Oryzias latipes: one gene and its partners. The protein of the gene in region 3 interacts with the protein of the main gene of each other region in a pairwise test. Links are inferred from orthologs where the notes say so. Each region holds a gene or a part of one and is shown on either strand. Other genes may lie near its edges.

Region 1 (7,619 bases), on a different chromosome or scaffold from region 3:
TAGTTTCACGTATAAGTCATATCTGGCCCTTTGAGGACAACCACTATGCTGAAGTGGCCCTCAGTGAAAATGAGTTTGACACCCCTGCTCTAAGGTATGTTGTAGATCCTTCCAAATTATAAAGACAAAAGAATAATCCACAAAAAGATGTTATAGCCGTTCTCCATGTCACTGACAGAAAGAGCTTTTTTTTTTACTTTAACAAACAGGGAAAAATCGACAAAAATAATCTTTACTGGATAATATCTAATTTTTAATTCTTTGACTACCTATAAGGTTATAAAAAGATTGTATTCCATTAACTTTTTCTTAAGGGCTCTGTTTACATTGGTTACAGTATTTGCAGTTCTCTGAGTACTAATAAACCGGTTTGTACACTTCATATCAATTAATGTCAACAATGTGGACTTCATGTAAAACCAGCTCTAACTTTTTTTGAGGTACAACTGTGTTTTTAACTATGAAATGATTATATGTCTACCATTCTTCTTTATCGTCAAGTAATGGATTTACATTGTTAATTTTAGTATCATAGAAGTTATGTAAATATAAAGTTTGGTTTTTGTGCAAAATGTAAGAGTTTTTGCACTATATCCAAGTTTGAAGAGAAAAGTTGTGGTGGAATTAAGTCTCGCGTAACAAAACTTGAGAAAATTGACTTATTGGACTGAAGTTTCCCAGCAGACATTTCACTAAGAAATTTAGGCCACCTTTTCACCAAACAGATGATTTAGGAATATATTCCATAACCTATTTTAATTCATACTTCAAAACTTTAGACATTCACTTTTTCACTGAAAAGTATGACAAACTTCTAATTTAAACACTTTTACTTGTTTTAAACTGTCAGAAAGGTACTAAAATGTCTGTTATAGTACTTTAAAATGTAAAATGTCCATTATTTTTGATTTAAGGGTGGTTGCTGGTTGCTCCCATTGGAAAATTCAGAATTTTTTAAACTTACATTACGTAGTTTTTACAATTGAATTTTTTAACATTAGTGCACTATTAAGTCTACATTTTGAAAACTAATCATAAAAGGAGAAGTTTTGCAAGGATTCGTTTTCTAATATTTTGCACCTGACGCAAGGTAAACGAAGAAAAAAAAAGGAATGACAGTTTCTAAGAAAATCTTGACAATTTCTGGATAAACATAGAAAAATGACTCAGATTAACCACACACTAAACAATGAATGCTAAATCTTTGTTCTTTTAAACGAAAATAAATACAAAAGATACTTTTTTTCTTTCCATAACAAAGAATACTTTTTTTATTTAAGGAACTGAAAAAAATGACATGACAGATTTTGCATTTGTACATAAAAGTTTAAAAATATGTCATCATTTACAACAAATTGCTGAGGTACTTTGTTACAGAGGTTTTTTACAAAACACCAAAAACTTTTAAACAAATGCACCCATCTCTCCTCACTTCAAGTATGTTCTGCATTACTTCATGTCCATAAAGCGTATGTCCATGATAAGCAGAGTGTGTCTGGGGAGAGGTCTGGGTGCTGGGGATAACACTTTCATCACCTGTGTCTGAGTGTCAACAAAAGTTACCACAATAAAACCACACACAGGAATCTCCACAATGCTCTTTCTTGCACCTTCGTCTCCGTCGTCAACGCTGCTCACGCTCAGAACATGGTACGTCAGGTCTCTCCCTGGTGTGACAGGCACCAGCTTTAGCTGCGTATCGTCCTGAGACATCCCTAGAGGTAAGCACGAGTCTGGGATAGACGGTGCACCAATTTTGTAAATGCGGACGTCAGAGAAGCGCACCTCATAGGAAAAGGGGTAGTAGGACACTCCACGGAATCCATAGAAATACTCGCGGATCTTTTCATCCCTGGTGTCCCGCCGGCACTCTTTGGAGCGCTCCACCACCCCCCCAGACTTGGGCAGAAGTACAACTCGCACAAAGTGGGGCAGGTCGCGTTTAAGCTCATTGTAGAGCCTTTCGTGGTCCAAAACCAGCACCACATCCACCTGAAAGGTGGAGGCACAGTGGACCAAAGCCTGGTATCCTGAACCCTTCACCCAGCCGCAGGTGTTGATGATGCAGCCTCCTACGCTGGCCTTCCTGTTTACCTCACAGCGCTGGGAAAACATCTCAGCGAGGCAGGATGTCAGCTAACCACAGTGATAAAAACACAAAAGCAGTAGAAAATAACAGCATAAATGATGACAGCCAATGACAAACATAAAATGACTGTATATCTACAATCTTCTAACCTTGTTATAAAGTTTAATGTTGGTGCCTGGAGTGGTGGAGCCAAAGTGGTAGACCAGAGGAGCCTGGACAGAGAAGCCCTCCTCCACATCCGCCGGCCGTTCAATGCACAGCGCTGACACCGTCCCTGGTACTGACACCTAAGAGAGAACAAAGTTTAGTCACACCTTACTGTAAATTCATTACACAATGAAATCTGAACTGTTCAACATTTACATTGCAGGTTTACAAAGACAAATAATCTGCATCCTACAAATAAAATAATGTACTTTTTGTAACAGGAAACAAAAAAAAAACTAACAAATGTACTTGCAGCAAGTCATTATACAGAAACACATGTTACAACAAGTAACAGTTCAACCATCTTAGAAGTACAATAGCTAAAAAAAAAAGAAAGAAAGAAAAAAAAGACCAATGAGCAACAAGATTGTGACTAGTGTTTTGGTAACTCCTTGACATTCAAAGATGATGCCTAGAAAACATTGAAATTAGTCATTGATGTACAAATATCTCAAACACACATTTTTGATTTATCACTGAAAATATGCAGTTTTTTTATATGAATAAATGAAACCAAATACTACTTAGCATTATGGATAACAGAGGACAAGACGATTAATTTTCAGAACTAACAAGTGATAACAAGCTTTGTTTCTTAATTTAAACCATTTACATTGGGAAAACTTTAAAAACTATAAAGATTAGGTCTGCACAACTTGTCTTATACTATCTAACACCATTCCCTGGACTATAGTAGCGAGGTTAAAACATTTAAAGTTGTGCAACTTTAAATGTACTTACACCACTTTGTCCAACATCCAGTTCCACAAGGGTTGGTCTCCTGCCAACCCTGACAGCGTAGTTGAGAAGCATTCGACACACTGTTGACTTCCCTACATCTGTGGGACCCACCACCATCACCTGGAAAGCCAGCAAATATGTATTTGTAATACAAAATATACAGAGAAGTTACATTTATAGGGGGGGATTTTAGCCATCTGGCTGCTCCTCACCCTTGGTCCCCTCTCATTTTCCCGTTCTGCTTGTTTTCTCATCTGTTCCAGGGCAGCGTGGGTGTTCAGGTAGAGCAGCATGGGAGTATCTTTAGACACATAGGCCACCTGAGGTTAAAAAAAAAATAATAGGTGATGTTTCGAAGTTAATATGGAGAACTGGACAGAAAAGACTGATTATTTATTTCATCCTAAACTCACCTCTGGCTTTCCATGAAGATTCACACTGCATCCTTGCCAGGTGAAAACAGCTATTTTGGATCCTGGTCCAAACACGTACTTCTTGTTGCGGTTCAGTTCTGAACCGAACACTTCAGCCAGTCCCGACAGGAGTTCCAGCTCCACTTGCTCCGCGGCCTCTCCTGCTTCCACCTCAAACCGAAGCTCGGTCTCCTTCTCCAAGTCGAATCGGGTGCAATCTTTGCCGTTAGCCGGAGCATCGTCGCTAGTTTTTTCTACAGACTCTGTTGCCATCGCTGTAGAAAGAAACGGTGTTATATAATCATAACAGGGTGCAACATGTAAAACAACAATATCGTTAAGTTAAAGGTAAATGCAACATTAATTAATAAATGGTCAAACAACACACGACAAGGCAAGCTAACTGATGATTAGCAGGAAAGGAAGAAATGTGGGGTTTTATGTCGAACAAATATAAATAATAACAGAGATCACCTAAATGTCTTCAAATTTGCTTAATGAATACAAAACTGTATAATTCGCGTCCTTATACTGATATATACAAAGCTTAAGCACAGAACCAAAAAATTGTGTACCCAGTGAGATGTTCGTCGCAGGATGATGACGTCAAGACTCTAGCAACCAATAGTAAGAAAGAACAGCGTTCTCGCTCGCTGCATTGCTGCCCCCTCGTGGTTGTGATTTATATTTCGTGATTTTTCTATAAACTGATTCTGTTTTGATTCCAGGGGCCTCATTTATAAACGTTGCGTACGCACAAAAGAAGGCGTACGCCACTCTCTACGCAATAGTTGAGATTTATAAAAAGCAAACTTGACGGGAAAATGTGCGGTCCTTCACGCAAGCTCTGACCCAGGCGTACGCACAAAAACGGATGAAATGAGAAACGGCGACGCCGTCGGCAGATGGAAGAAACACGTGAAAGTGAAAATGACAATACTGCCTCTGATAAATAACATGAAGACTTCACAAAGCAAGTCTTACAATTAACAGCCTACACGAACACCCGTTTGATCGATCAGCAGTGAAACAAACAAAAAAATCAAACAAAAATTACAACAGAAATTCAAATGAGCACATATTTGCAAAAAGAAAAGTGAAATATGTTCTGCAATATTGGCATGTTGTGCAATTCATCCTCATAAATAATATAAATAATATAGTTAACAGAACGAAATAATGTACACAACTGATATTCCCGTCAATGTGTCCGTCTGGCGGAGCAGATATAGGAGCAATCAGACAGACAGATGGATAGATAGAGAGAGATGCATTAATTCTCCACTGGGGAAAGTTGTTTTCATAGTAAAATATTTCTTCATAAGCTACAGAATTATGGTATTCATGCATATGCCTTTATTTTGTTTTATTTTTCATGAAACAATGTATGGCGTTTGTCTCGACCATTCAGAAAGCAACAAGAAATTACATTTGCGCTGAACAATTTCCCATTTCCACGTCGATTATTCCCGACATCTGTAGCTTGTCAGATGTAATTAAATGGAGGGAAATAAAATGCCCCATCACAATGCGTAATGACGCACAATGGCTGATCTTGCTCTCTTAGAAGATGTGGCAAATGGAAGAATTCGGAGTGAACGCATCTTTAGACAGCAAGGAGACTTGCTGGCAAACGAGGACGAGTGGCTTATGAGCCGGTTCCGACTTCCTCTGCGGGCTTTTGGGGGTGTGTCACCCGGTGCATCTGGCGCGTGGGTGTCCCCCTCCGCCTCAGTCACCACTCCACTTAAAAGGGATTCCCCAATTATTGCCGCCAGTCTCTCATCAGGAGGGGTCAGCTCCGGTGTCCCCCCCCCCCCCCACACACACACACACACTCGTGGCAGACACGGGTGTGTGTGTGTGTGTGGGGGGGGGGGGGTTCAGCGCTAGACGTTTTTTTGCCTCGACTTTGATGTCCGACCTTTTCTTTTTTATTTCGGGCACGGTCCGAGGTTGTGAGGCTGCAGCATTTTCGGCGTCTGCCGCCGTTTGCCACTCACGTGCCTTTTTGGCATTAGTAATGCCCACACTGTGCCCTCCAAACAACATTATTCTCCTCTTTTCCACCTCGCCAACGATAACTTCTACTTCACATTGAGTGAAGTTACGTTTTTTTGATTTTCTCTCCGTGTTTGGCATGGTTTCGCAATCAATGAATATTCATTTGTGGGCGTTTCACGGACTATTTATGGGCAACTATGGGCGTGTCATGTAGCCGCAAAAGCTGCGCAGCATTTAGAATCGGTTGTGATTTATTAAGGGAAAGATGCGTAGGATGTGCGTGCGCACGGTTTTATAACTCCGAATATTTCTGTGCGTACGCACGTCCTATGTTTCATCCGTACGCCACTTCTGACGCAAATCCTACGCAAAGTTTTATAAATGAGGCCCCTGGTCTTAACTGTGTCTGGGCAGAATCAGACCCTTTTTAAGGAAATATATTCATCCGTGTTCAAAATTAGCATACCCATACTTTAATTTATACTTGTCATGGCTGGATGTAAAAAATTAACTACTGCCATATCTTACAATTTGGACTTATTGGAGTAAAATTGAAATATATCAGGTATCACTCCCATAAAAAGACTAATAACCATTATGACAGGCCAGAGGGAAGAACAGTTTAACAGATGGACCTGTGGAAAAAATAGGGTAAATTCCTTTTTACACTTAAACATAACTTTACATATACATTTTTTTAAAGAAATCTGATGATTTTATTAGCAATGATGAATGGCCCATTTTACACCATATATGAGAATAAGATATCATGCATCATTGAAATTAGGAACTGAATTTCTGAAGAAAACCTGCTGCATTTATCTGTAATATTTTGTCCTGTAATCACCAGTCAAAAAGTAAAAAAAAAAAATCACTTTTTTGGAAAGTATTTAATGGCAGGGCCAAATGTGTGTTAATTTTAACCAAAGTAAAAGCGTTTTAATGATAGTAAATAAAAATGAAATAAAACATAAATGGAATGATTTTCCCTCTGATGTATTTTCTGAAAAGTTTCAGCTTTATTGCTAGTTTATGAAGCTTTTTCTTTTTAAATTTCTCTCTTAGACAAAAAACAAACAAAAACAACAACAGATTATTTTCTTTTATTAATAAGCAACACCAATAAAAAAGGCACAAAAACTTTCAACAAAGATTTGAAATAGCTGAGATGATCCACTAGGTGGCAGTGTGTGCCCAGAAGAAGTCATAGGTTGGAGCTCAGTTTGTCAGAAGAGGGACTGAGAAGATCTCCTTCATCACTCTTCATCATTATGCTTCCACCAATCACATTTCCTACAGATGAGAAAGATTTTTTTAAACATCATATTATGTTATTGTTCACCTTTTGGCTCATCCTGTTAGGGATTGCCACAGCATCTAGAACACAACAGCTCTTTAAGGCCCTCTCCAATGAACATAGTATTTTTAACATGTTCTTGTACATTTCTGTCATAATGGAGGACATATAACGTATTGAAGATTAAAACTGTGTTTCTTTGTTCAAATCGTGATGGATCAGAAGCTGATAAAAGTCCAGCAGTGTGAAAAAGCTCATGTGTGACAGCATCTTGAATGGGCAGGCTAAAGTCTCCCTGCTACGCTCAAATTTTGATGCATCCACTTGCAAACAACTGGATACATTAATGTCTTCATTTTCCTCGTCTGAGTTGGCATCTGGCTCAAATCTGTACGGTTGGATGGCTGTGATATTGTTTGCCAGTTTTGTTGCATGGGTAATGTTGGGTTGGGCTTGTGAGCGGCTGTAAGCTAGCAGGAGAGAGTGTAAACAAAGGAATGACAGGATATCAGCGTAGGGTTACGTCAACAGTCCCATCCACAAATCTGAGGGATGTTTCTAATGAACTACTGCTGCTCTGCAGAAAGTGTCTTAAAAAACGACACAGGTTTCTTGACTTGGGCTAAAAACAGCATCAGCAATCATAATTAAAAGATCGCTGGAGAGACTTTTAGGACCAACACAAATATAATTGGAGTGGGACCTTTAGAAACTCATCCCCAAAACGCTAATTTTCTAAATTTTAGCTCAGAAATGTGATAATATTATGAAATACACAGGGAACATTTTAAATTAAAATCCTTGTTTAATGTTGACAAACCTGCACGGCCACCTATTCAGTCTTCAAAGCATCTTTGAAAGCAGCAAC
Region 2 (7,870 bases), on a different chromosome or scaffold from region 3:
TTTTTTTTACAGTATTTACAAAGGTACACACTATTTAAGAGATGTGAAGCCATGTTAGATTGAAAACAGCATATTTGAGAAGGAAGACTGTTCAGAAGAGTTAGATTTTAAAGTCATGGTTGTTCTGCTTCATTTTAAACTTACACTACAATACAGAGAGGAGCATCCTTCAGTCTGTCCTTTTCTAAAGGAGAGTGGTCATATTTCTTTGTGTTCAAGCTGTCAGGCTTACTAACCTTTAAGTCCTCATTTGATGAAAGATGATTTCCGTTCTCTGTAGTTTGTCATAGTTGCTCTGATCATATTTGAAAGGAAATAAGATTTTTTCTACATTTCTCTCCTTGTTTTTCTTCCCACTCCTGTTTGAGGAAGAAGGCATATTCTATATACTCCACACACGAGAAAGTTCATGAGCTCAATATGATCCACGTCCCTGATTGGCTCCAAACTGTTCTTTGCGAATTCATTTGAATCAGTCGTCATCTTGCTCGGCTCGCTCCTTGGAGGAAACCCACCTGCTAATGATGACTTCCTGTAGAGACAAAATGTAGAAGATCATGCTCACTGATATGGTGTGCTGGGCTCCAGTTTTATTTCTGGAGCCCAAGGAGACAAACAGAAAGCTGTGAAATCTACAAACCAACTAGACCCAGATGGGGAGGGATGAGGAACAGCAGATAGCTAAAACTAGAAAACTGGCAGCAACGCTGAACAAACATCACAGCTCCACACCTGAACCTTCAGCTTGCTCAGGCAAACAGGTGAATCAAGCTCCTCCTTCAGTAGCTCACCAGGATACACGATGTAACACAGCATCAGCTCCTGTGAGATAAAAACCAATCAGAGGGACATGGCAGGCCAAGTGTACCTCCTCCCGATGAATCTGTACCTTGGAGACACTGGCGGTAATTCTGCTAAGGGCAGCAAAAGAACGCCATGAAAACGGACGCAGAGTTGAGCCCCTGAACTCATCATCAGTTTGTTCTACAACCACAGAGTAACTACAGGCAGAGGACAGGCATGATTAGACACTCATAAAACCGTGGCTGATCAGAGTAAAGTCACCTGTGTGAGCGTCACCTGGCGTGGTAGAAAGGGGGTCCCTTCCTGTAAAGCACTGCAAAAAAACACATTATAGTTATCAAGCTTCTCTTGTCCCCTCAGTGTGAGGAAAATTCTTTCACAAACACAGGTAAAAGGTCTCAGCTCTGTGTGTGATCTTACTGAAGTCCACACCATATTTGGCCCCGCTGCCTCCTTTGGGGACCCAGCCCCTGCTTCGGAAATGATGATATGCAGCGTAAGAGCTGGTGAAGTCCGGACGTAGAGACCTAAACCTTCGCCACAGCTGAATGACTGACTGTGGCTCCTGACCAACCACAATGCACAACAGGGTTTACTTCTTCATATATAGCAATGCAACAAATATAACAGCCAAAACAATCATAACTCACCTGGTCCAGGTACACAGATAAGCAGCCCAAGCTGTAGACAAGGAAGAAGGCCTGCAGAGTTCAGGGACATAAAGGTGAGAAGGCCACTTAAATGTCCCAACTGTGGATGCAGGTGCCAGGTGGGTTACCTCCTCCAGGCTGAGCTGCAGGTACTCAGTTAGAGACAATGGGCTCCGCTTCACTTCTCTAACCCCACCTTCATTCTGTAGAAACACAAACCTAATTAACAGCTCATCAAACACTTAACAACATGCAGATTCATATAGGGACTTGCCTGGTTCTCAGAGACTACCAGCACAAAACCAGGACCTGGAACCTGAAAGCCAAGATCTGGTTCAGAGTCTTGATCGGAGTCAAAACTGGGTTCAGAGTTCTGGTCAAAGTTTAGGTCCTGTATGTCCGACCTGAGTGTTGAAACAAAACACAGTTAAGTTAACCCCCATGTCTTGTTTCTGAGTTTAAAATATACCAAGAGGTATCAAAATGTTATAGTTCCTTAAATGAACTCTAGAGTTGGGTTTATAAAAGGGGCAGTTTCCAACTCCAGAGTTGTTGTTGTTTCTCTCTCGGCTTTTCCCATCAGGGGTCGCCACAGCGAACGAGTCGCATGGTAAACCTGGCAATGTTTTACGCCGGATGCCCTTCCTGACGCAACCCTCTCAAAGCAACCGGGCTTGGGACCGGCACAGAAGTTGAGAAGGGAAGGTTTCCCACTCCAGAGTAATGAGAGGAAAAGAAAATCCCACTTCACACCAAAATGGGAGTGTATGTACAGGCTGAATACAAAACCTTTTTGTTTTCTATTTCTTTATGAACTCTTCTCGACAGCTTGCTGTTTTGATTTTATTAGTGTTTCACCTTTCAACACTGGAGCTTTAGCTCCGGTGTTTGTTGATTCCCCTTTGAATTACAGTAACTCTTTGACCATTCAGAATGTCAGAATTCCAACAGATTCTGACACTGAAGCTGATTCTTTGCAACACTTTTCAGTAATGAAGTGCTGCATATCAGCACAAAGCTGCTTTTCTCAATAATTCCGTAAACGATTGAAGAGTTAGAATAAGTCAAAGAGCATGTTATTTCCTGTTGTCTGTGACACCTCTGGTTTTAAAGAACTTGTGCCATTTTTGACTGGGAAGAGCATACTCCAGTCAACTTGGCAGACCCATTTCACCTCTATTTTGGTGTTTTGAATTTGGGTGACATCAGAGATTATCTGTCCATTTAGTAAATGTCTATGGATGAAACAAGCACTTCACCTGCATGGTCTCTTGGCCTCAGGCTCCGCCTCAGATTCCCTTCCCAGACTTTTTGTGTTGTCACAAACTCCATCCTCAGTCTTTGCCCCCTCAGCCTCCCTCAGTTCACTCTTCACATCCTCTATCTCCAATTTCTGCGTTAGTTTGTGAAATATTTGATCCACAGCCTCTGCAGACATTCCCTGAGCACACAGACTTGCCTTTGCCCATCCAAGTAGTTCCTCATACCTGTAAAAGACTGAAATGTAAGGCAGGAAGTGATGTCATCAGCCAGACAGAACAAGATGCTGCTAACCTGGCCTGAGAGACAACGGGAAGGTACAAATCTTCGAAATCTGTAAGACAAACAAACCAGCTGACTGCACAGAGCTGTGTGGGTTAGACCAGATCAATGATGATCTCATGCAGGTGCAGGTGTAGACTCACCCTCCCATTTTTCTGAAATGCTGTGATCTGGTCTGGCTCTGGACAAGATGCCTTTTCCAAAATAACCCTGAAAAATCAAACCTAGTTAGATAAAACTGAAGTAAATCTCCTTAGTTTTTACTTGGTTCTTTCCATCACTGCTAGTCCTTGTAGTCAGAGGCATAGAGCAGCAATAGTGTCACCATAGGACCAAGGTGGGAAAGAAGACAATAATGAAAACACAAACTGACATGTTTCTTCCCGTTTTAAGAGCTTTCCATCCAGGAAACTAAAGGGTTTACATTCAGTTTGATTTGATCAGTTTTGATTTATTGATCATTATCATTTGGCATGATGATGAAGTCCTCTCGTTGATTATTTATTATGGTAAAAGAAAGACGGGATGCAATAGATTGTTTTCATCAGAGAAATACAAAATTTACGCCCAGCTTTAACAGTTATCTGAGTCCAGCACATTTAACTGTTGCTGCAGATGCACCTATAATGTATCAGTGCGACGGCATTAAACGAACAAAAATAGTATTCATGTAATTAAGGCATTCTAAACTAAATCCTATAATCTACACTGGATCTTTTCAGTAACATTTTGCAGGATTGCTTTGCTGTCAGTGAGTCGGAACTGGCAACCCTGACCTGGTTGTGTATCTTCCTGACATGGTCGGGGTGGCAGACAAGCACGTGCTGGTTGATGAGCTCAGCCCGGTACACGCACTTCTCCCCGGCACTACGGATGACCGGCAGCGGAGCCTCCAGTTCTTCGTAAACACGCGCGCGCCGCCGGGGAGCGCGGAAGTCGGCCTGCATTGCTGTGGACCCGTTACTAAACGGCTGACCTCTTTGTGGGATTCTGACCTGGAAATTTGTGTACTGTTTTCTGAACCAGAATAAATGTGGGTTTTGCCGTGCACGTGGGTCCTCTCTAATCAAACTGGTCCTTTCGAATTTTTTTCTCTGTAGTTACTCATACTTTTACAAAATTGCTCAAGAGAGCCACCTATTGGCATGGAGGTAAACTACAATCCACCTTTAAAGCGACATACAAACAGTCCATGATTCCCTAAAGTTTGCTTGTCTACAATAATGACTATGAATGAAATTGAAAGGAAACTATACAGGTTTCCTAGTTGGTTTTATTTAGTTTTTACCACAAACTAATTTAAAAACAACAATAAATGCTCCACTGAACATGGGATAAGTGTAATACATCACACCAAACTGAAACAAAAATATTCATTTCCAGAATTTGTCAAAAATGTAAAATTATTACTAGTTCCATCCTCTATGTTACACATTAATAAACCAGCAGAGGTCAGACAATTTTGCACATCCTTCAAGAAAATTTTACTGTGCCTTAATAAATGCCTCATGAAATCTTTTAAATCAGCCATGTGTTTGCTTGAACTTGTATTTTGTCATTTCTGCTCATGTTTGTGTATACATGTCTTTATCTCCTGTGTTGTTTTGTCAGACATAAAAATGAGCAGAAAAATCCTGCTCATTTTCAATAAACCGAAAGGTGAACAACAATACAAGATAAATGTTTAAATATTGTGCAAAATAAAATTAAAAAAACAAGAAAAAACAAAACAAAACAAAAGGCAAAATGATCTTTAGCAACAATAAAACCACTCTGAGGAATCCCTCCACACTTACTGTATCTGCACAGTTCTGATACATGTTTGTTTTGTTATTGCTTCATTGAACGAATAAATAAAACAGACATCCATCAACATTTAGTTTTAAACACCAATAAAAAAGAAACATGTTGGAGAAAAAAAAAAAATCCCAATTATGTTTACGACTTTATGTTTTATGTCGGGGTGTCGTCTCTGCAGATGGAGACAAACTGGGTGAAAATCTTCTGGTTTAAGAAGTGCGTTTTAAAAGAATAAAGTTTATGTACTGAATGGTTTATGAGCCAGTTTTGATTTGTTCTGATCCGTACTGCTGCTGGAAAGCAATATATCATTCAGAACTTGTGTCAGTGTGACCGCTAAGGGTGTATTCAGATTCAAATCCTTTGTTCTTGTTGGGAAAACAGTATAAGAAGCAATGTGTGTCACGTTGAAAAGTGTTTTAATGAGCCTGCATACATCCAACCAAATTTCAATGAGTGCTGTGTCTCATTGTTCTGGTTTCATGGCATAGTTTTAAAGTAAATTCTGTTAAGGAATTACAAGGTATTTTTTATGGTGACGTTACAGCACCGCCGGGTGCATGCCGCGTAACCACACAGAAAAGCATGTAAGACGCATTTTCAGCTGAGTTAAAACAAACGTAACAAGTAAACAGTTGGACTCTTTTTTTCCCTCTTTGATAACATGACAATCATTGCTTCACATTTCTTCGCAGCTCATCGGTTCCTTCATTCCTACTCTGTTTACGTCAGCTATGGGGGCTGTTTTGGTTCAGTTGTTCCGCTCAGAGGACGGATTGTATTCAGACTGAGGAATCCCAGAGCAAACCAAAGCTTGGTCCGATTGGAAATGAACCAAGACCCCCTCCAAAGATGGGTCAGAGAGCGGTGTCTGGTCCTGGACCAGGGTCCACCTGGGTGTATTCAGACTGAAAATTTGTTCCGGATTATCCAGGAATGAAATCTGGTTCACTTAAAACAAACCAAATGTGTCCAGTCTGAATTCACCCTTAGTCTAGTGGGTCTGTTTTCATTGGGTCAAAGGTCAGGCCACTTTAGCTACTGGGTTCTGCTGCCTGCGGTCGGTCCACCATGTAGAACTGGTGTTTCTCGATGTGTTGGACCAGTGTGGTATATTTTGACACCCTCTTCATCCTTGGCAAGATGAAGCAGCGAGTGAAATCCTCTTTGCTCAGGGAGCTGCAACCCTCCACTGTCAGGACGGTATTTAGAAACTGCAGGCAGAAGCTGAAGCAGTTGTGGTCGTCTTCATGGAATCTGGAAGACAAAGGTGGGTAGGGGCTTTGACTGGCATCACCTGTGTTGACTGTGTCACCTGTGAGTTACCTGTGCCACACAGGGTCCCACATGGGTCCCTCTGAGAAGCGCTCCAAGTACTGATCCCACTGAGCCAACAGGTGGAACATGTCTGGTCGGACCAAAGGGATGTTGATGCAGCGCTCCCAGCCTCTCTGTTCTTTCTGCACCCCATTCTGGGTGTAGTTGTACACCACTCCTGCACACAGGTACCCAAAGGTGAGCTGCAGGCATGAGGGACAGCTTCCAAAACAATTTAACTGTGCTCTTGTCTTCACAGCAGCCAGCAGAATTCCAGAGAAGAGAAGTTGGACTCCCCAAAAACAAGTTTTACCTTTTGTATTGGAGATCCCAGTGTGCAGATCTGAAGTCCCATTGAAGTCGCTATATAACACACAGTAGGATGAACTGGTTATATACATGTGTCAGATTGGTTCTGTTAGATGGGGCTGTATGTTTTTCCAGTCTTGTCCTCACCATTTCTGTGGTTTCCGCAGTGGGGATGTAGATCAGAAGGGCTGACACATCATAGCAGACCACGGTGTCATCTGTGTTACTTGATACCAACTTGATATAATGCACCTTGCTAACAAAGCTCTGGATGCTGGGGTGTAAGGTGTTGTCCAGCAATGAAGTTGAAAGGATTGTGAGGTGTTTGGTGATGTTGTAGGTGGGTTACAGTACACACATTTATTTTTGCCCATTTGATAGATGAAATCCAGTTAGTAAACCAAGTGCAAGAAGCTTTTGTTTCAAAACTTGCTGCCTTTTTTACACATACAAACATTTAAAGAAAGTAACCCCTAAACAGACTCAATGAAAACAGGTGTGTTGAAACAAATACTGAAAAGGATAATGGGGAAATGGGTTAGCCTACAACAGGGGAATGGAGAGGGTTCTTTTCTTATAAACAGTATGTTTGTGTGTATGACATGGTTTTCGAATCGGCTGCATGATTTGTGTCTTTTTTGTTGAAAAATATTGTATATAAACCCCCCCCCCACACAAAATATAGCATCTATTTAAAAGGAGATTTAAACTCCTTTTTCACAGTGAGAGTTAAGGAAACACAGCCACACGTACAAGTGGTTCTTCACAACTCCAACCTTGTCTTCAAATCTTTAAAAAGAAACAAAAAACCTTGTATCCTCCCTTGTGCTCATACAGCATTGGTAAATGTTAGTGTTGGTCTTTACCAGTTGAGCTCTGACTCACGGACAGTCACCTTAGTAAGGTCTGCCTTTTTAATCTTAAGCAGGTGTGCAGGTGACATCTGAACCTCCGGTGGCTCAGGTTGCACCTTGGCATGTCTTAGAATCTGCTAAAGCAAAATACTTGCAACCAGTTTCACTTCTTCCGCTCCTATCCCTCCTATCGAATGATGTTTAAAGGCTAGTTTCCGAGCAGGTCTCTGATTTCTGATCTTGATCCAGATCGTTCTGGTTTCTGCATTGAGACGCCAACGTCTTCACTTACCTGAGTTCTCTGCACAGTCTGACACAATAAACCACATCCTTTACTCGCTGACATGGATATTCAAGTCTAAAAAACGGAGCTTATCTGAGCCAAGCATCACTGAACTTCATTTTATAGAGTCAATGGGGATACTGGTTCCCCAAGGCTGAATTTTGGGACATTGTGTCTATTAACACACAATCCTTTTCCTAAGGTTTAGTCATCAACTCTTGTTGTTTTTTTTGTTTTATATTATCACAGATGATGACTACTGGACCTAGGAAGTGGCCTGTCTTTATTTGTCTTCCACACCAATCCCACAT
Region 3 (7,741 bases):
CCACTTCTCGACTTGGTCCAGACTGACCTGTTGGCTAACACGTCGTAAAAGCTGTGGACTGAGCAGAAGGAGCCTTTCATGGAGCCACTCACCACATCCAGGATGCCGTACATCACCATGTCCAAGGAGACGGCTGTCGTGTGGTTCCAGCTTTGCACGGGTCTGATGATCTGCAGAACCTGACTGGGTGTTGTCAGGTTCAGATACTTCAGCAGACCATAATAAGAGCAGTCTGAGGGCTGACTGCCTGAAACACCAGCAGGAAACCAGTGTGACATCCAAAAACAGAGCAAAAGAATCCAATTTAAGGAGGCGTTCAGGGCCGTAACCGGGCCGCCGCGCGTCCGGAGGGCTGCCATGGCCGAGTGCTTCAGCTTCAGCTGAAAAGCCTTTTAAAGCATCCAGATGTTTGCAGACGTTCACCACACAAAGGCGCAAGATGGATGTGTTTGATTATGTGAACCAAAGAAGGTTCTTTGTGTTCCGAGGCCGATGACCCAACCATTTCTATTGTTGGAGCTGCAGCTGCAGCGAAAAGTCAACATCTCTGTGCGGGGAGAGCTCACATCACCTGGAGTCAGCAAAAGTCCTGCATGAGGTTCTGAAACACAAACGCAGAGATTAAGCTCTTATTGCAGAGCACTTTGTTCAGCCCTTAGTTTGTGTCACAGGCCTTTGTAAACACAGGTGGACCTGAAACATGCTGCCGAAGGACGCACACAGGTACACACACCTACAATGCACCTAAAAGCCAGACCTGAAACCAGCAACACAAGTGCTCCAGAAACACGGACCTAAAAAACACACGAACCTAAACCCACATGCACTAAAACACGTAGGGTTTAGTGCATGTGGGTTTAGGTTCATGGGTCAATCTAAAATGTCCCAAGGTGTGAATGTGACAGTGTGTGAGTGTGTGGTTGTGGTCACTCTACCCTGCAACAGACTGGCGTCCTGTCCAGGACGCCCCCTGGCTTTGCCTACAAGTGGCGGGGATAGGCTCCAGCAGCCCTGTGACCCCGAAAGGGGAATAAAACGGGAGAAGATGAATGAAAAAACTAAAACCTGTTCCAGAGACACGCCTAAAACAAGCAGCTGAGATGTTCCAAAAGCATGTTCCTGGTCTTGAAACGGGCTCCTAAAAAACTCCAGACACATTTCTGAAGGACACAATCGATGAAAACTGTGTTTTTAACATCTTCTTGCAGCATTTGTCTGATCATGGAGGACATTTTAAAAGAACATTAAGCTTAAAATTGCATTTCAGAGTATTTCTTTATTTGGTTTAATGCTATAAATCCTTCAATCAATCATTGTTTTCCTGTTTCTCTTTCTTTATTCTAGTATCTTCCACCATTCTTTGGTGTTTAACTCCTACAATTTTACAGCTATTTCAACCGTTCATCTATTCAAATGTTCATTTCTTTCAGCTTTTTCCAGCTGTGACTTCTGGTTCTTCAAATACTTTAACTTTTACAGGATTTCCAGGATTTTTGCCTCCATTGAAAAACATGGGGAATCCTCGGTGCAGAAGCTCGCTTGTTCGATACCCGGCTCTGGCATTTTTCACAAACATATCATTTTTGTTATTGTGCTGATTTCACTTCATTTCTAGCCAATTATTACCCTTAAAGTTTCATTTTCATTCAGAAATATACCATCAACCCCGAATTTTCTTCTGGAAAAGCAGCTCCTTCTAGTTCAGGTTGTTGTGGATCAGGAGCAGATGAGAAATGCAGTTTGAAAAAGCCTGACAGTGACGTAGAAGCTGCAGTGGGCGGGGCCACAAGCAAATGTCTGATGAAGTCCTGCCGCTCTGCAGAAACTATGTCCTATTTACGACAAAGGTTTTTAGATTTTGGCTAAAAACGGCGTCATCAGAATTCAAAGAGCATTTGGAACGCTTTGAAAAATATTACAACTTTAAACTCTATAAATATCAGGACCCTAAAGTCTGCCATTTGGGGTATTCGCCTGTAAATCCATCTTAAATTGGCTCCAGCTTGTTGAATTAGCCCGTATAGCGCCATCTCCTGGTAGACATGTTGAAGGCGGAGCCTGTTTTACGTGTTGAGATAAAAAAGGTTCAGTTTCAGGTCAAAAACAACAAAAGTCTTCTGCTGAAAGCAGAGCTGCTTTATTGGCTGCACTGGTGACATCATGAATTCACTCTTTATTGTTTAAATGCAAACATTTCATTTCAGCAGTTTAGTTTTCTGAAAGGATGTCATAGAATATGATGGATGTGACGTCCCAGAAGGCTTCCGGAGCCAACAGGCCGTCTTTCCACAGCTCAAACCTTCAAACCAGCGGTCTGAACGTCTACAGAGCGACGAGGAGCAGCGGCGGCTCCTGGAACCTCCCGGACGGAGGCGAGTCAGGGGTGGACGTCCTGGGGCAGCTGGAAGTCCTTGAAGGTGTAAAAGGAAATGTCCCCATAGTCCACGACGGCAAAGACGACGGGGACGTCTCCGCTCTGGAAGGCCAGCTGCTTGATGGTCCGCAGGTCTGGCACCGGCCCCTGGAAGCTGAGGAGCAGCGGGAGACCGTCACTTCTGAGCATCACCGGTTTGACCACGTTTAAGGCGGTTTGCAGCGACCGCGGCTGAGAATTTTAGGTTTTAAACTCAAATCCTGTCAACCTTTCTCTGAAATGAAAGACTCATCAATCAGAGATGAGCCGTTTGGCAGTAAGCAAGGGGGCGTGGATTCCTCTTAAAAGGTCAAAGCTGTTCTGGAGCAAGGCGACCCTGAGTCAACAGCGCTCACCTGCACACGCACATGCGCGCATACGGCCTCCCCGGGTTGCTCTTCTTGAAATCGGCCGCCGAGTCCGGCTGGTAGACGTTGAAGCTGATCCTCCACTGGTCAGAACCGTTTAACCTGAGCGGACGGCAGGAGGGAAATCTGTTTCTGCACAACAACGTCCACCCCCGTCAATAAACTGGCAGACATTGGTGTTTACAGTGACTCCCTGGCTGGTTTATTAACTATCTTTCAGACAGATCACAGCATCTAAAATCAGACCTTTTAATGTTACCTGTGGAGTGCCACAGGGGTCTGTTCCAGGGTCTACCCTGCTGTCATAAATCAATTATCTGCAGCAACACGAGGGTCATCCATCCGTCTTTACGCAGACGACACAATTCTTTATACATCAGGCCCAGAGGCAGTAGCAGCACCGTTTCAAGAGAGTTTTAACTCAGTCCAGGAATCTTTGTGCTCTTTGAGGCTCGTATTGAACTCAAACTAAAGTCATGTGGTTGGAAAGAAAAAGCTGTTGTCAGTCTTGGACATTTCTAAACATCACCACCTCAAACTTTTCTTGAACAGGTTCCTGAATACAAATATCTGGGCATCTGACTGGAAACCTGTCCTTCATTCTCACACCACAGAAGAATCAAAAGCCTAACCGTGTCTTTCTTCATCGCATGTGCACATCCATCACTTTGTTTGCTAGAAGACCTTGTTTTAAATGACCATCCTACTGATGCTCGACTGTGATGACATCATTTATAGATCAGCTCCTAAACCAGGGGTCTGCGACCTGCAGCTCTTTGAGCCCTCCATTGAGGCTCTCTGGTTAAAGAAAAATCAAATGTTTTTTGATTTTAAAAAGTAGCTGTTTAGCTAAAAAGTAAGCAAGTAGTGAAGTAAACTAACCCAAGCTCATAAACCACCAGTTAAAGGACGGTATGCATCCAGAAACGCAGCCATAAATCTCCATCCACCAATCCTGTGTTCATCAAAGTCGTACCAAAACACTGAAAGATTTTTGTGCTCAATATATTTGAGGCCAGTTAGCAAAATATGAATTTATACTCCCAGCATTATAAGATTTCAATTGTGCCTCATGGTTGGAAAAATACAGTAAAGGTCATTTGATGAGCTCCTTTTTATTTTTAGTTCATTACACTTTACATTTCTGGCTGAGATGCACCACAATAGAAGGATAAATGGATGTTTTTTTATTATTACTGCTGACATCACACTAGACTATGGAAGCATTTTTGTAGCATAATTAAAAATATAAGTCTGTACCAAAACGCTTTTTCTTTTTCTTCTTCAAAACCGCTCATTTCTGTCACTTAATTAAAAGGATTAAGAAAATGATTTTGAAATGAGATATTTCTAATTACTAAAGAACTTTTTGAAAATGAAACGTCAAACAGCATTTTCTTTATCATTAAGTGAAATCACATTATGGAGAATTCTCTTTCCGTCAATAAGCAGCAAACGACTGGAATGATGCACAGACTGAATCCTGGATGTTGGAACTAAAATGTCAGTTTTCCAGGATTCCTTTTGACTGAATAGTTTTCTTGATGTAAATTCTTGATGTGCTTTAATCTACCTTTGTATTTCTCTACTTTCCAGCTCGTTATTGTAATAACAATCTTAAATAAAGGTTTAAGGGGTTAATAAAGCTGAAAACTGAAAACCGTGACATTTTTGGAGCAGGGCGCCACAGCGACACGGTGAGGGGCGGAGTCAGTGAACATCTTTTATCTGCTGAATAACTTATCAATTTCTTAGAATGAATAATCAGGTGTTTGTGATTAGAGTCGGTGACAGAAACATACCTGGACGCGCCCTCCAGCAGGTGAGACGGTTGGAGGACTCGGAGTTTCTCCAGCAGCTCCGCTGCAGTGAGACGCCGGTCAACTTGGAAACATGTCACATGACCTCCCACAGCAGACCAGACTCACCTGTGGTGATGGGATGCGTTGGGTCATGTAAGGGCGTGACCTCGCCGCTCCACAGGTGAGCTGGTTGGCCCGGATGCCCCGCCCCTCGCCTCTCCAGGAGCTCCTGATACTCCGCCCAGTTTCTGCACCGCTGAACCTGAAAGAAAGTCGTACAGCGGCGTGAGCAGGTGGGCGTGGTCCTCTGCGCGTGTCGGTCAGGAGTCTGCGGCGCCGTGAAGTTGGCGTTCTCTGCAGAGAATAGCGTGACGCTCTCAAGCGTCTAACAGGAAGCATAAAGGTTCAGAGGTCAAAGAAAGGGCGTTGTGGGACTCGGACCAAAGCAGAAGGTCCAGGTGATGAGAACGCCATGCTTTCAGCAGAAAGGGGCGGAGACTAACCTCTCTGCTCCACTGCTGCATCCGCCTGCCTTGGACCTCCTCCCTCCTCTGCTCCTTCTCCGACACCTTAACCCTCCGCAGGTTGACCTTCTGCCTCCAGGAGGCTACGTCACAGACGCCCACGCTCAGGCCCCCAGGCAGCAGGGCGGGGTCTGGAGGGGCCACCAGCCCCTCCCCAGAACCCAGGTCCGGGAAAGCGAGGCCGCTGAAGTCCCAGCGTGAGGGGGCGGAGCTGTGAGTCCGTCTTTGACCTGTGCGCTCCTCAGACAGCCACCAAGCCTGGCCCCCGTCTTCGCCTCCACCTGCAGGGCTCCTGGGGTCTTTCTCCTCCGCAGGCGTGGGCTGGCGCCCGGAGCTGCACTGCCCCGCCTCCATCTTCTCCTGCTGTGCGAGGGCGCCGCTGCAGACGGCAGAGAAATGGCGTGAACCCCCTGCTGATCAGAGACTTTCCCCCCCTTCAGGCAGAGGTTCACCTGCAGGTCTGCGGCGGGCTGGAGCTCCGCCTCCTCTTCGGCGCCCGTCCTGCTCTGGCCCGGGACAGGGGGAGGTTCAGCTGTCGAGCGTACGGCGTCGGCTCGGAGCTGCGAGCACATGAACGAAAATGGAAACGAGCGTCCAGAAACGAGGAGGCGAGAAAAGAGACTTTCACCGCCGACCCCAGCAGACCGGAAGAATCCGCAGGCGGAGCCTCACTTCCACCTGCAGCTCCTCCTGAACGTCCAGCCGCAGCTCAGGTGTTCTTACCCGGGATCAAACCTGTGCACCACGTAGCCGAGCCTCTTCAGGTGTCCAAAGACCTGTGGGCAGACGGGACAGCGCTTAGATGGACCTGCAGACCACCGGTGGGTGGAGCAGGGTGGAGCGGGTCACCGAGGAGCACCTGAAACTGCTGCAGGGTCACCGTGTCTGCAGACAGGAACGCCTCGTACCCGTCCTGGATGGAGATGGGCAGGTCCTCGTGGAAGATCTGCACGCTCCCCTGCTCACACACAGAGAGCGGTTCAGGCGCCCGTTCCCTCACCTGTGCACCTGAGCCGGCGGCTTCCACTCACACACTCCATCAGGTACAGAGCCTCTTCTGGGAGGAGGTACTGCTTTCCGTCCGCGGAGAAGCCCGCCGTCTGCCAGAACTTTCCCTGCAAAGACGAGACAGGAGCGGCTGGCAGAGCGCGGGAGGAAGGCCGCACAAGGGCTTCGGAGCGAGAGCACTCACGGCAGGAGACTGCAGCTCCACCAGCCGCCGGCACGGCAACCACACGCCTTTCACCAGGTTTCCTCTGCAGACAGACAAGAGGAGGGACGCTGAACCAAAGCCAGCACCACAGTTCCTGATGCTAAAACTCTCCCAGTTTCAAGGATAAATGTGGAAAACCGACATTGGAGGCGAATCTTCGCCACAGATTTTCTGCTGGGGAGGCGCTGGAGCTCTGACCATCGGTGCCGCTGAGGCAGAACAGGCCTGATCTCCAGTTTGGTTTTATTTATTTTTGTTTTTAGCTTCCAGTAGAACTTTGGTGGTTAAAGTTTATCTCCATTCTCTGTAAAACACCCGCAGCTGCAACTTTATTTCTACATGTAAGAACCCATAACTGACAAAGTTGGGGGTTAAAGGTTAAAGCTAAAGATTCAGACGCCAACTTCAACCTCTGACCCTTAAGGAGTGACGGCAAAAAGAAAATAAAGTTCACTAAAACTGATGCTTTCTAAAAATAACAATCAACAAGCTGGACGCAGCTTTATTATCAGCATCCCGGTAACATTAGAGAGCGGATGGCTGAATATTCTGCATTATTATTAAAAGTATGTAGTTGTAGATTTAGATAAGTTAATTCTTCTCTATGAGTTCTGGTAAATCGCCTGTCCGTCCTGGGGGAGGATCCCTCCTTCATGTGGGCACCCCTGAGGTTTCTTCGTTTTTTCTGGAATCCGTTTTTTTGGGAGTTTTTCCTCACCGCGAAGGGGGGTCTAAGGGCAGGGATGCCAGTATAGCTTAGTCAGTTTGTTAGTTCATTTTAGTATTTTCCTATTGAACTCTTTGCATTCGTGATCCTTTTGAGTTCATGTTTTACTTCGAAGCCCATCGAGACGACTGTTGTAGTTATTTTGGGCTATACAAATAAAATTGAATTGAATTGAATTATTATTATGGTCCCAATGATTCCATGTTAGGGATGAAGACTCCATATTTTTGTCTGTTAAATGCAGCTTTTATTTTGAAGTTATAGGCTCTTCTTCTGTTTCCTCTCTGGATCTTCTCTGCGTAAAGAAACTTTCCAGGTATGTTTGCTTTCATGTTAGTTTTGCTGGTTTCAACTCAGAGCAGCCGCTTTCAGAAAGTATGACATGTGACCGAGTTTTCCAAAGTGAAGCTTCCTTTGGGCCGTGTTTTTTTTCTGTGTGGCCCAGTCACTGTCTCACGGGCCGGTACCGGGGGGGCTGCAGTGGGAACAGACGCCTTCGATGCGTTTGAAGGTGGCGTGCACTCACAGGCGCTCCACCCTCTCCTCTGAGACCAGGCTCCAGTGTTCGTCCAGACTCTGCTGCAGCCGCTGCCTCTGCTCCTCAGACTCGTCCGGGAAGAAGTCCTTCTGTCCTCGGACCGGGATCTTCCGACTGCGGGATCGGGCCGCAAACAGCTCCGAGGGACTGGAAAGG

Evidence for each region. The genes of interacting proteins can lie anywhere in the genome.
Region 1: the proteins of tsen54 (region 3) and clp1 interact in binary tests that used the Homo sapiens proteins (3 or more experiments, as listed by UniProt). The link is inferred for Oryzias latipes from reciprocal best matches to the Homo sapiens genes TSEN54 and CLP1.
Region 2: the proteins of tsen54 (region 3) and tsen2 interact in a two-hybrid assay, tested with the Homo sapiens proteins (2 studies listed by BioGRID and IntAct). The two-hybrid records come from large-scale screens. The link is inferred for Oryzias latipes from reciprocal best matches to the Homo sapiens genes TSEN54 and TSEN2.

Annotation. Positions count from the first base shown.
Region 1 is NC_019868.2:14,102,707-14,110,325, forward strand, and holds clp1 (polyribonucleotide 5'-hydroxyl-kinase Clp1), read right to left. Parts: upstream 4,116-7,619; 5' UTR 4,026-4,115; intron 4,018-4,025; exon of another isoform or gene 3,925-4,017; intron 3,726-3,924; 5' UTR 3,724-3,725; coding exon 3,451-3,723; intron 3,358-3,450; coding exon 3,250-3,357; intron 3,158-3,249; coding exon 3,038-3,157; intron 2,377-3,037; coding exon 2,239-2,376; intron 2,137-2,238; coding exon 1,450-2,136; 3' UTR 1,306-1,449; downstream 1-1,305. UniProt on the Homo sapiens protein: Polynucleotide kinase that can phosphorylate the 5'-hydroxyl groups of double-stranded RNA (dsRNA), single-stranded RNA (ssRNA), double-stranded DNA (dsDNA) and double-stranded DNA:RNA hybrids. dsRNA is phosphorylated more efficiently than dsDNA, and the RNA component of a DNA:RNA hybrid is phosphorylated more efficiently than the DNA component.
Region 2 is NC_019863.2:19,266,984-19,274,853, reverse strand, and holds the start of tsen2 (tRNA-splicing endonuclease subunit Sen2), read right to left. Parts: upstream 4,116-7,870; 5' UTR 3,944-4,115; coding exon 3,773-3,943; intron 3,207-3,772; coding exon 3,140-3,206; intron 3,049-3,139; coding exon 3,009-3,048; intron 2,942-3,008; coding exon 2,714-2,941; intron 1,859-2,713; coding exon 1,729-1,858; intron 1,658-1,728; coding exon 1,583-1,657; intron 1,506-1,582; coding exon 1,455-1,505; intron 1,370-1,454; coding exon 1,225-1,369; intron 1,118-1,224; coding exon 1,081-1,117; intron 1,002-1,080; coding exon 890-1,001; intron 823-889; coding exon 733-822; intron 533-732; coding exon 473-532; 3' UTR 1-472. Other genes in the region: mkrn2os (MKRN2 opposite strand protein), read right to left, coding at 5,831-6,053, 6,123-6,291, 6,427-6,476.
Region 3 is NC_019866.2:1,091,780-1,099,520, reverse strand, and holds the end of tsen54 (tRNA-splicing endonuclease subunit Sen54), read right to left. Parts: intron 7,733-7,741; coding exon 7,574-7,732; intron 6,364-7,573; coding exon 6,300-6,363; intron 6,223-6,299; coding exon 6,139-6,222; intron 6,066-6,138; coding exon 5,967-6,065; intron 5,884-5,966; coding exon 5,831-5,883; intron 5,668-5,830; coding exon 5,560-5,667; intron 5,487-5,559; coding exon 5,087-5,486; intron 4,846-5,086; coding exon 4,710-4,845; intron 4,645-4,709; coding exon 4,584-4,644; intron 2,884-4,583; coding exon 2,770-2,883; intron 2,529-2,769; coding exon 2,378-2,528; 3' UTR 2,116-2,377; downstream 1-2,115. Other genes in the region: 5-hydroxytryptamine receptor 3A, read right to left, coding at 93-359.